2 linked regions of the Coturnix japonica genome follow. The protein of the gene in region 2 purifies or fractionates together with the protein of the main gene of each other region. This does not show direct contact. Links are inferred from orthologs where the notes say so. Each region holds a gene or a part of one and is shown on either strand. Other genes may lie near its edges.

The links.
Region 1: the proteins of AICDA (region 2) and CTNNBL1 purify together in Homo sapiens (affinity purification with western blotting; 3 studies listed by BioGRID, with this or other methods). This does not show direct contact. The link is inferred for Coturnix japonica from reciprocal best matches to the Homo sapiens genes AICDA and CTNNBL1.

The regions. Positions count from the first base shown.
Region 1 is NC_029535.1:8,600,556-8,604,997, reverse strand, and holds the start of CTNNBL1 (beta-catenin-like protein 1), read right to left. Parts: upstream 3,053-4,442; 5' UTR 2,952-3,052; coding exon 2,922-2,951; intron 1-2,921. UniProt on the Homo sapiens protein: Component of the PRP19-CDC5L complex that forms an integral part of the spliceosome and is required for activating pre-mRNA splicing.
Region 2 is NC_029516.1:68,572,338-68,576,600, forward strand, and holds the start of AICDA (single-stranded DNA cytosine deaminase), read right to left. Parts: upstream 2,900-4,263; 5' UTR 2,686-2,899; coding exon 2,678-2,685; intron 1-2,677. UniProt on the Homo sapiens protein: Single-stranded DNA-specific cytidine deaminase. Involved in somatic hypermutation (SHM), gene conversion, and class-switch recombination (CSR) in B-lymphocytes by deaminating C to U during transcription of Ig-variable (V) and Ig-switch (S) region DNA.

The sequences.
Region 1 (4,442 bases), on a different chromosome or scaffold from region 2:
GAAACCTCGCCAAAGGAATTTCATATTACCTAGGCGTCTACCTCGTAAGTAACCTTGTTATTGTGAAGCTCTGAAAGTATTAGTTCATGAAATCGGAAATAAATCTTCATAAGTGACACTGCTGCTGTGTGGCCACGTCAGCCAACTGCAACACACGCAGAGCAGCACTGCAGAATGCAGCTGTTGGGTCAGGGCTCCGAAAGCAAACCTCACACCTCCACAGCCACCTTCTTTCTGTCTGTATCTTTGGCTTCTGAAATTTGCTTCCAGCCTTTGAATTTTGCTTCCAATCAGGCTGCTGCCAATCTCACTTGGCACCAAAGCACGGCACTTCTTTATAGCCCATTACAGACTGAGAACTGGTACCAGGACAATGTGGTACCCTTAGGAAACCCAAGTGCTCCAAATGAAAGAAGGAAGAACAGAGCTGCATCTGCATGGACAGTTTAAGTTAATAGAACAGATCCTTTCCCTTTTCACCTTCCCCCACAGTAAGGCACACAAGGCCCTGAGGCAGCGTTGTACTATGAGAGGCACACAGATGAAGTTTCACCTCCTTGTTTTATATGGCTGCCATATGGAAATGTGAAACAAACCACCAAAAATATATACAATAATATACATACAATATATACAATGACCAAAAGCTGCATGTTTATCTGGAGGGTACAAACACTGTACAAACACTACGCCATCCCTGGACCTGGGATGCTCTGCAAGGACAGAGCCCAACGTGCCACAGCCCCAGCAGCAGGGCAGGGAAGCACACTGGTTTCTTTGGCTGACTCTTCCACACTTCCCACTTTGATGGCCAAAGATACAAGCAGAAAGAGAGCACAAGGTCTGCACACAGCTGCAGGAGCCACACCAAAGAAGCTCCAGGCACGGGGTCACAAGCATGAGGCCATCACGCTCTGACCAGGAGACACAGTGAGAGCAGCCAGCAGCCTGCCCAGCTCTGCTGCTTCCACCATCAGACACATCCATTATGTCACCAATCCACAGCAAACAGCCTGTGCCAGCAGCTGGAATTACTGCGCCCCTCCAACAACATGCTGAGATCCATCCCATCACAAGCAGTGCTCCACCAGTTCCAACAGCAGGACAAACCTGCTGCACAAATTGCACCCCATTACAGCTTCCCCCTTTTGTTATCCCATTTCACAAATATTTCATTAAAAAATTAGCAATGCATAATCATCACTCAGAGCTGAAATCTGCATTTAACGAGAATGGAAATAATCTCCCTTATTCCCTCCCACACCAATTGAAAGAGATGTCTGAAAATAACCAGAGCTGGCTTTGTCCCTATAATTACCCGCTGTAATCAGAAAGCAGACACGGAGGATCTGGGCACAGTGTTTCTGGGCAGCACAGCAGCAATATTTAATCATCAGTTTAGACCATCTGCAACTGTTTTGCAGCAACACATAAAGTTTATGGATTACTGAGCTTTGTATAAGCTGCCAGGTGCCGGGTCTGTTTATTTGGCCTTTTTTTTTTGCTGCAGGAGGTTCCTTTTCCCATTCTGACAGACATCGAGTGCCCAGCTGGCAGCACAGAACCCAAAATCTTCCACACCAAACCTGGCACTGAGGGAGAACATCTTGATTAAGCAAAGGCACGGATTAAGTGTTTAGAGGAAAACAATTTGAAACAATATAAAACTGGGCTTCTTTGCTGAGGGAAGCTGAGAAACTGACTCATTTGCAGCAGGTTAAAATCAGACAGCAGCCATCACACCCAGCCCTTCCCTGACAGCCACTGCTGCTCTGCAGTGAGGATGGATGAAGCTATCCCAATACAGAATCCCATGAGACGAGAGCATGAACCTTCATGCAGGTGGAACCGGAGCAGGGCAGGAGCTGCTTTATGAGCTACCCATCAGCCTTGCCTTGGTAGCAGCAGCTCTACCACTGACCTGGCTCTGTCGCACCACACACGAGGCAGCATGCGCACAGGCACAACACAGGGCTGGCTGCTCTGAATGTTATGAGAACATACACAGGGCAGCCCTGCTGTGCTGCCTGTAGGACAGCAGCTGCAGGCAAAGCCCACCACTCCCTGCCTTCATTCCAATGTTACAGATGCAGGTACCGCACTGAAGGGACTGTGTCTATCAGAACCAGAGCTCCTGTGCTGCCTCCTGCTCCCTCTCACCTCTGTTCACCTTTCTACCTAATTCCAGAGCTCTGAATCTGGGGACACGTGAAGTCCAGCTCTTGCTCTCATGCAATACATCACCTCCTGACACAGAAACATTGGTGTCCTGAGACCTGGAGAGCACAAAACCAGAACACCTGCAGAATGAATCTCAGTTGGAATCTGATGGATAAACTCAACAGCGAGAGAAGCTGCTGCAACACCTGGCAGCCACAAAGTGCATCTCCATGTGCTGCTTCCACATCATGGCAGCAAACCGAGGGCAGGCAAAGAGCCCAACACAGAGCAATGGGAAAACCAAAGGGATCAAAAGCAAACATACACTGTGCTCCAGGGCAGGATGGTGCTATGAAGGCCTCAACATTTTCAGAGCATGAGAAAAGCAAAAAGAATCCAAACTAAAATCTGAATAAAGGCTTAAAACCAACAGAAGTCAACTAGTAACTAACAGGTTTACCTTTACATTCCATAGGTATAAACTGCATCACACAACAAATAAATAACACTGATACAAATAATGCTTCACTCTCCTTCACCTCAGCCAAAGGAACACAAGAAACAACCATAATAACCCGATATTTAAGAAGCACAGAAGAATAACTGGACATTTAATAAGGATATAAAGCACAGGGAACATGCGGACAGGCCGCACCAACACACAGCTCCATCCCAGCCCTGAGGCAGCCGGATCTGCAGCCGTATCACAGTGTCAGCACGGTCAGGGCCCCCCCGCTTCCATCCCGTTCCCCCCATCCCACCTGGTAACTCAGCAGCTCCCCGACGTCCATAGCACCGACCGGGCCCCACCGCCGCCGAACTGTCGTAAAGCACCGGGATAGCACGACACCGTGCCGTAAAGCGAGGGAGAGCAGGCGCACTGCGAGGGAGCCACTCTGCCGGAAAGTGAGAGCTGAGACGCGCTGTCGCAAAACGCCGCACCGTCGTAAAGCGCCGCCATGACACGTGTGGGATGCGAGTGGTAATTGGGGTGGGGGCAGCTCGGCTCGGCACCAACCTTATAGAGCGTATTTCTTGATTGCCTCGGAGCCCGAATCGTTGTTCACGGCCCAGCGGCGTTGTTACCTCAGCAGGAGGGCGCTGAGAGGAATTAAAGACATCCATAACGTGTGAGAGGGGGCCCAGCGCCCCGCAGGGACCGGGAAAGGGATGGAGCTGCAAAATGAAAGCCACAAATCTGAGCTGCGGGGCTGAGATACATAGAGGAGAATTATTGGCTCTATTGGCTTCCATTCACCGAGTGCTGGGGCAATGGGGGGCAATGAGGGGGTCTAAGGGGCATTGGGGGGGTCTGGAGGACACTGGGGGGCTCTGAGGGGTATTTGGGGGGCTCTGGGGGGTATTAGGGGGCACTGAGGGGTATTTGGGGGCACTGGGTGGGCTCTGAGGGGTATTGGGGGTATTTGGGGGGCTCTGAGGGGTATTTGGGGGCTCTGAGGGGCAGCAATAGAGGCCCCATGTGATGGCAGTGAGCACAGCACAGGGCTGTGCAATGCAGCTGCCATTGGAACAGCCTTTGGTTTCTGCCGGCTCCTCCTGGATGTGTTTCCAGCACAGCCTTATTGCAGCCCAGGAAACTCAATTCTCAGCGAGCTGCTGCAGGGCAGGATTGGATAACGGTGTGTTTTCATGCAGTGAGGGCAGTGCGAGCACAGGGACAAAATATTGAATTAAAAAGCAAAACCAGAAGCAAAAACAAACACAAAACAATCAAAAAACACCCACCCAGCCAACTCCAATAATCGAAAGGATGGATGTGAACAGAAGCTCTTGGCACATGAAGCAGGTCCAGCACCCAGAGCTGCAGGAGGGCTGTGCTGCACCCCTCACCTGGAGATCACGGCCCTACGGCCCCATAGCACTGCAGAGAGAATCTCTGCCTTGGTTTGATCCCTGCTTTGCTTTTCAATCCAGATGCCTCCAGATCTAATTCCCTATAAATAATTGTACTGAGTAACCCGGGTCCCCCGGTGATTAACTAAACACACGGAGCCTTGCTGAAATTGAATTAGTGGTGTGCGCTCAGCCGTTATTGCCCTCCCCGCATCATGCATATTAATGAGGGGTTATTAAGAAATGTAAATGATGCCTCAGGGGGTTGGGAGTGCAAAGATGGGGTAGGGGGGGGTCGGGGAGGCGTGGGTTGATATGCCAAACCATTAGGAAAACAGCCTGATTGAAGGCACTTTGTTAATGATGTCAGATCTTGCTCTTTCTTGGATGCTGCGACGTTTCCGGATGTTTTCCTTTTTTTTTTATTA
Region 2 (4,263 bases):
TACTCCAGACCCCTCACCAGCTTTGTTGCCCTCCTTTGAACACACACCAGGGCCTCGATGTCTTTCTTACAAGGGAGGCCCAAAACTGGACACAGTACTCGAGGTGTGGCCTCACCAGTGCTGAGTACAGGGGGACAATCACTGCCCTGTTCCTGCTGGCAGCACTATTTCTGATACAAGCCAGGATGCCATTGGCCTTCTTGGCCACCTGAGCACACTGTTGGCTCATGTTCAGCCAAGCATCAATCAATACCCCCAGGTCCATTTCCTCTACACAGTCTTCCAGCCACTCCACCCCAAGCCCATAGCACTGCCCGGGGTTGTTGTGGCCAAAGTGCAGGATGTGGCATTTGGTCTTGTTGAACCTCATCCCGTTGGCTTCAGCCCAGCTCTCCAGCCTGTCCAGATCCCTCTGTAGGGCCTCGCTACCCCCAGGCAGATCCACACTTCCAGCCAACTTGGTGTCATCTGCAAACTTATTGAGGGTGCACTCAATGCCCTCATCCAGATCATCAGTAAAGATATTGAAGAGGACAGGCCCCAGCACACGTGATCACCCTCAAGACAATCTGCTCCATAACCTTCCCTGGAACCAAGGTCAGGCTAATAGGCCTGTAGTTCCCTGGATCTTCCTTACAACCTTTCTTGTAAATGGGAGTCACACTGGCAAGCCTCCAGTCTTCTGGGACCTCACCAGTCAACAAGGAGCGCTGACTGGTGAGGTCCCAGAAGACTGGAGGCTTGCCAATGTGAGGAGCTGACCTTGTGAGTCAAAACAGTAAGTGAATTAGTAGTGATTAACCAAACAGTAACCATGCCTGAGCAGAGTGCAGAAGTATCCTAAACATGGACACAAATGAGAGCGAAGTATGAGGGTATCTGGGAAAAAAAGATATGAGAAGATGAGAAGGATTGGATCAAGGTGTATTCTTTCTACTATATGAAACCCTAATAACCACTGGGGCAATGAAAGGATCAAATCAGAGACTTTTTAGAGAAGACTGGATGTTTCTTTCTATCCTTTCCCAAAGGAAGAGTGTGGCTGGAGGCATTCCATACTAAGGATTAGAAGATAGGGTAGGGTACCATATGTTAACTGACAGAAATAAGTACTAGGGTAGGCATGGTGACACATTTGATGTGTGAGTTCCATTGCCACACTAGGTAAGCAAAGAGATTGGTATGGGCCTGAACCCATGCCAGATGTCCTGCTGGGGAGAGGTAGCAGGAAAATGAGAATGAGAAGATAGCCATGAGCCTTATTCAACAGCCTCAATGTAATGTGGAAGTACATCTGAAGACTGCTGTGTTCACTGTGGTAAGCTGTTCACCTCCCTCACAGCAGGGAGCTGGAGTCAGTGTAAGAGATGTGGAGCTGAGTTTTCTGCGGTTCTGATTTGAATATGAGAGTCTAAGCAAGGAAAATTTCTTATATAAACACTCTTTATCTATTTCCCACACCCCTTCTGTGCATGGCAGATCCTCAGATGGTTTAGGAAGGACAACCCAGACAATCATATGGTAAATAAGTTGGTATGATAAGTGAGAAAATTGCAAAACTCTTACCTGGACTATATAGCAAGAGCAATAAAACAGTAAAGTTTTCACAAAAACATTTGCTTTAAGAATGTATCTCATTTCCTTCCTGTAGTCCCTTTTCTTCCATATTCCCATTTTTAATCCTTTCAGAAGTCTTACTCCTGCAGAGCAGTGTGGTGTTGCAAAAACAAGTGAAGAATAAGAAATAACAAGAAGAAGAAAAGGACATTTGGGTCCTTTCAGTGTCAGGACAAAGTGAAGACTATACAAGACAATTTTGAGTCATGAGCCATTTGTACACATAGAAGTATTCATTAATATCAATTCCTGTTATCTCTGCTCTCCAGACTTGGCCATTGCTGGGGATTTTTATTAGGAAGCATTCCTAATAAATGACCATGCACGACCAGTATGAGAAGAAAAATGAATGAACAGGTGTTATGGGAGGCAAGTGAGAAGATCTGCAGCTATGTACAAAGTGATGGTTACATATGCAACTCCTGTAGCATAGGAGCACATCACATAGTTTGAGAGAAAGCAGCAAAGACACAGGAGCTGTGATTATACACAAGCTGTGATTATACACAAGAAGGGATCTTCTCCTCAAATAAAGATTCATGAAGCAATCCTGAAATCAGAGCGAAAGCCCCTGAGTGTGTGTGAATGATGTGCAATTATGCAGAGTAATTTAAAAGCAAATAGAAGAATGCAGGGCTGGAACAGTCTGTGCTTGAAAGCACAAGGTGAGAGCAGCAGAAACAGAATAAGATCGAAACCTGATGCAAGAGGGAGAATAGGTGGAGAGTGGGCAGAGATCAAAATGCTTAAGCAGCATCCAAATGTTCATCTTTCTGTTATATTTTCTTTTCTTTTTCTAGAAAAGAAAGAATGAAAGGGAACAGAAAATAGTCACAAGGAAGAAATGACAGGAGGGGAAAAGAATGCAGGCTAGTTTACAGTCAAAGAGAGAAACAGTGGTGGGCGCAGAGAGCTGCAAGGTGTAAAGGTAGAACAGGGTGGGGATTTAGATAACTGAGTCATATGGAGAAAGGGAAAAGGACAGTAAACACCAAATGGACAGCAATTTAATTAGAGGCAATTTATTCTATCAGCAAGAAATTGGAGGTGTTCATTTTACCTTTCCATATCAGCTGGGTTCTCTCTTAGATGACTGGGTTGTGCAGAAGTTGCTTCACAGGCTCTGACTGTTCAGCCCTCTGGTGCACAGAAATGTGGAATGCTCTGTACTTCCCTTCCCCATTCACCCCTATCTACTCTTGGTGGGTTTCAGACTGTGTCTGGGGAGGAGTTAGGAGAGGCCCTGGAGCTGTATGAGCCAAAGAGCAAAGGGTTAAAATGCGAAGAGATACTAGTTCTGAAAGATGCTCTGCACTCATTGGCTGCCTCTCCTTATTGCACTTGCCATTGGGACCTCCCAGTTTGCAAAATTATTCTGAATTGATATCAATAACATGACGAGGCAGGAAGCATTGTCTAGTGGTTAGAGGGGAGCCTGGGAGTTGTGTACCACTGACATGAGTGTGGGCAAAACCACACAACCCCTCTGGGCCTCTGCTCACACAGCTGTGCAGTGATGATGGTAATGCTGACCTTCCCTACCAAGGCAGCAGCACGGGTGGCGTGTGACAGTGCCCTGTGAATCCAGGTGAAAAAGGCTCAGGGAGCACCAAACTGTTGTCCCTTCCATTTCACCAAAACCAAAGAAGAGTGAGAATAGACCTACCTAGCTCTTGAAAAATGCATGGGGGTGGTGTGCAGAAATTGGGCATGTCACCCCTGTTTGACGCTTGAGTGCCATGCATTCTGGGCTGTGTCAGCATGAAAAGAGCAGGCACTAACCCAAATAACAAGACTATGCAAAAAACCCACTGAGCGTGACTCAGGCCCCAAACCTACTGAGCACACACAGCTGGAAACAGTACTGGAAGCAGAAAGCTTGGGACAGGGTGCAGAATCTCTCTTCTGGGTGTCTCGTGGCAGCATTGCCTTCACACAGCAGGCCTGTGGTTACATGCAGGTGTGCTGAGGCTTGCTCTCACCACGTGCACTTTCGCTTTGCTAACAGTTTTCTCCTCCTCAGGCTCTGCTCCGCTGTAGTACCTCCAAGGCGACCATCTCCTCTGCAGGGCTGAGGGACAGCCAAGGATAACCTCCAGACAGGCATGGGTGCTGAGGAGGCAGGTAGGAACTATCCTCCTCCATTACTTCCTCAAGCTGGGCATGACTGTGAGCACTACAGCCCTTTTGTTTACCTCACGCTAGGGTAGTTCTTCATTTTTTCTCTGCTTGATTTACTTTCTTTATTAATTTTACCGGCTTTCGGCTTGCTGCTAGAACTGCGTGAAGCCAGTATATGCAAAAACATGAGTTGACAAACCAGAACAGACTACTCTAGCCCAGTACTTTAAGAGTGGCCACATCAGTAATGTACATCAGTGATGTACACATCAAGAAAAGGAGAACTCCTGGATGATCCAGGACTGGACTGTCCTACTCCTTGTGTAAATGTATTCCCAGCTCCACAGAAGTAGCAGTCATACTCAACAGACACACAGTTTAGCAACTTCATTGCCAAGGATTGTGGCAATTGTGCTCTTTGGAGATATGGCTTTTAGTGTTTGACCAAAGACAGAACAGTCTGCATTCCTTATTAATCCCTGTTCTGCATAACAGACTAATAGAGGACATTTCTGCTAATAAAAC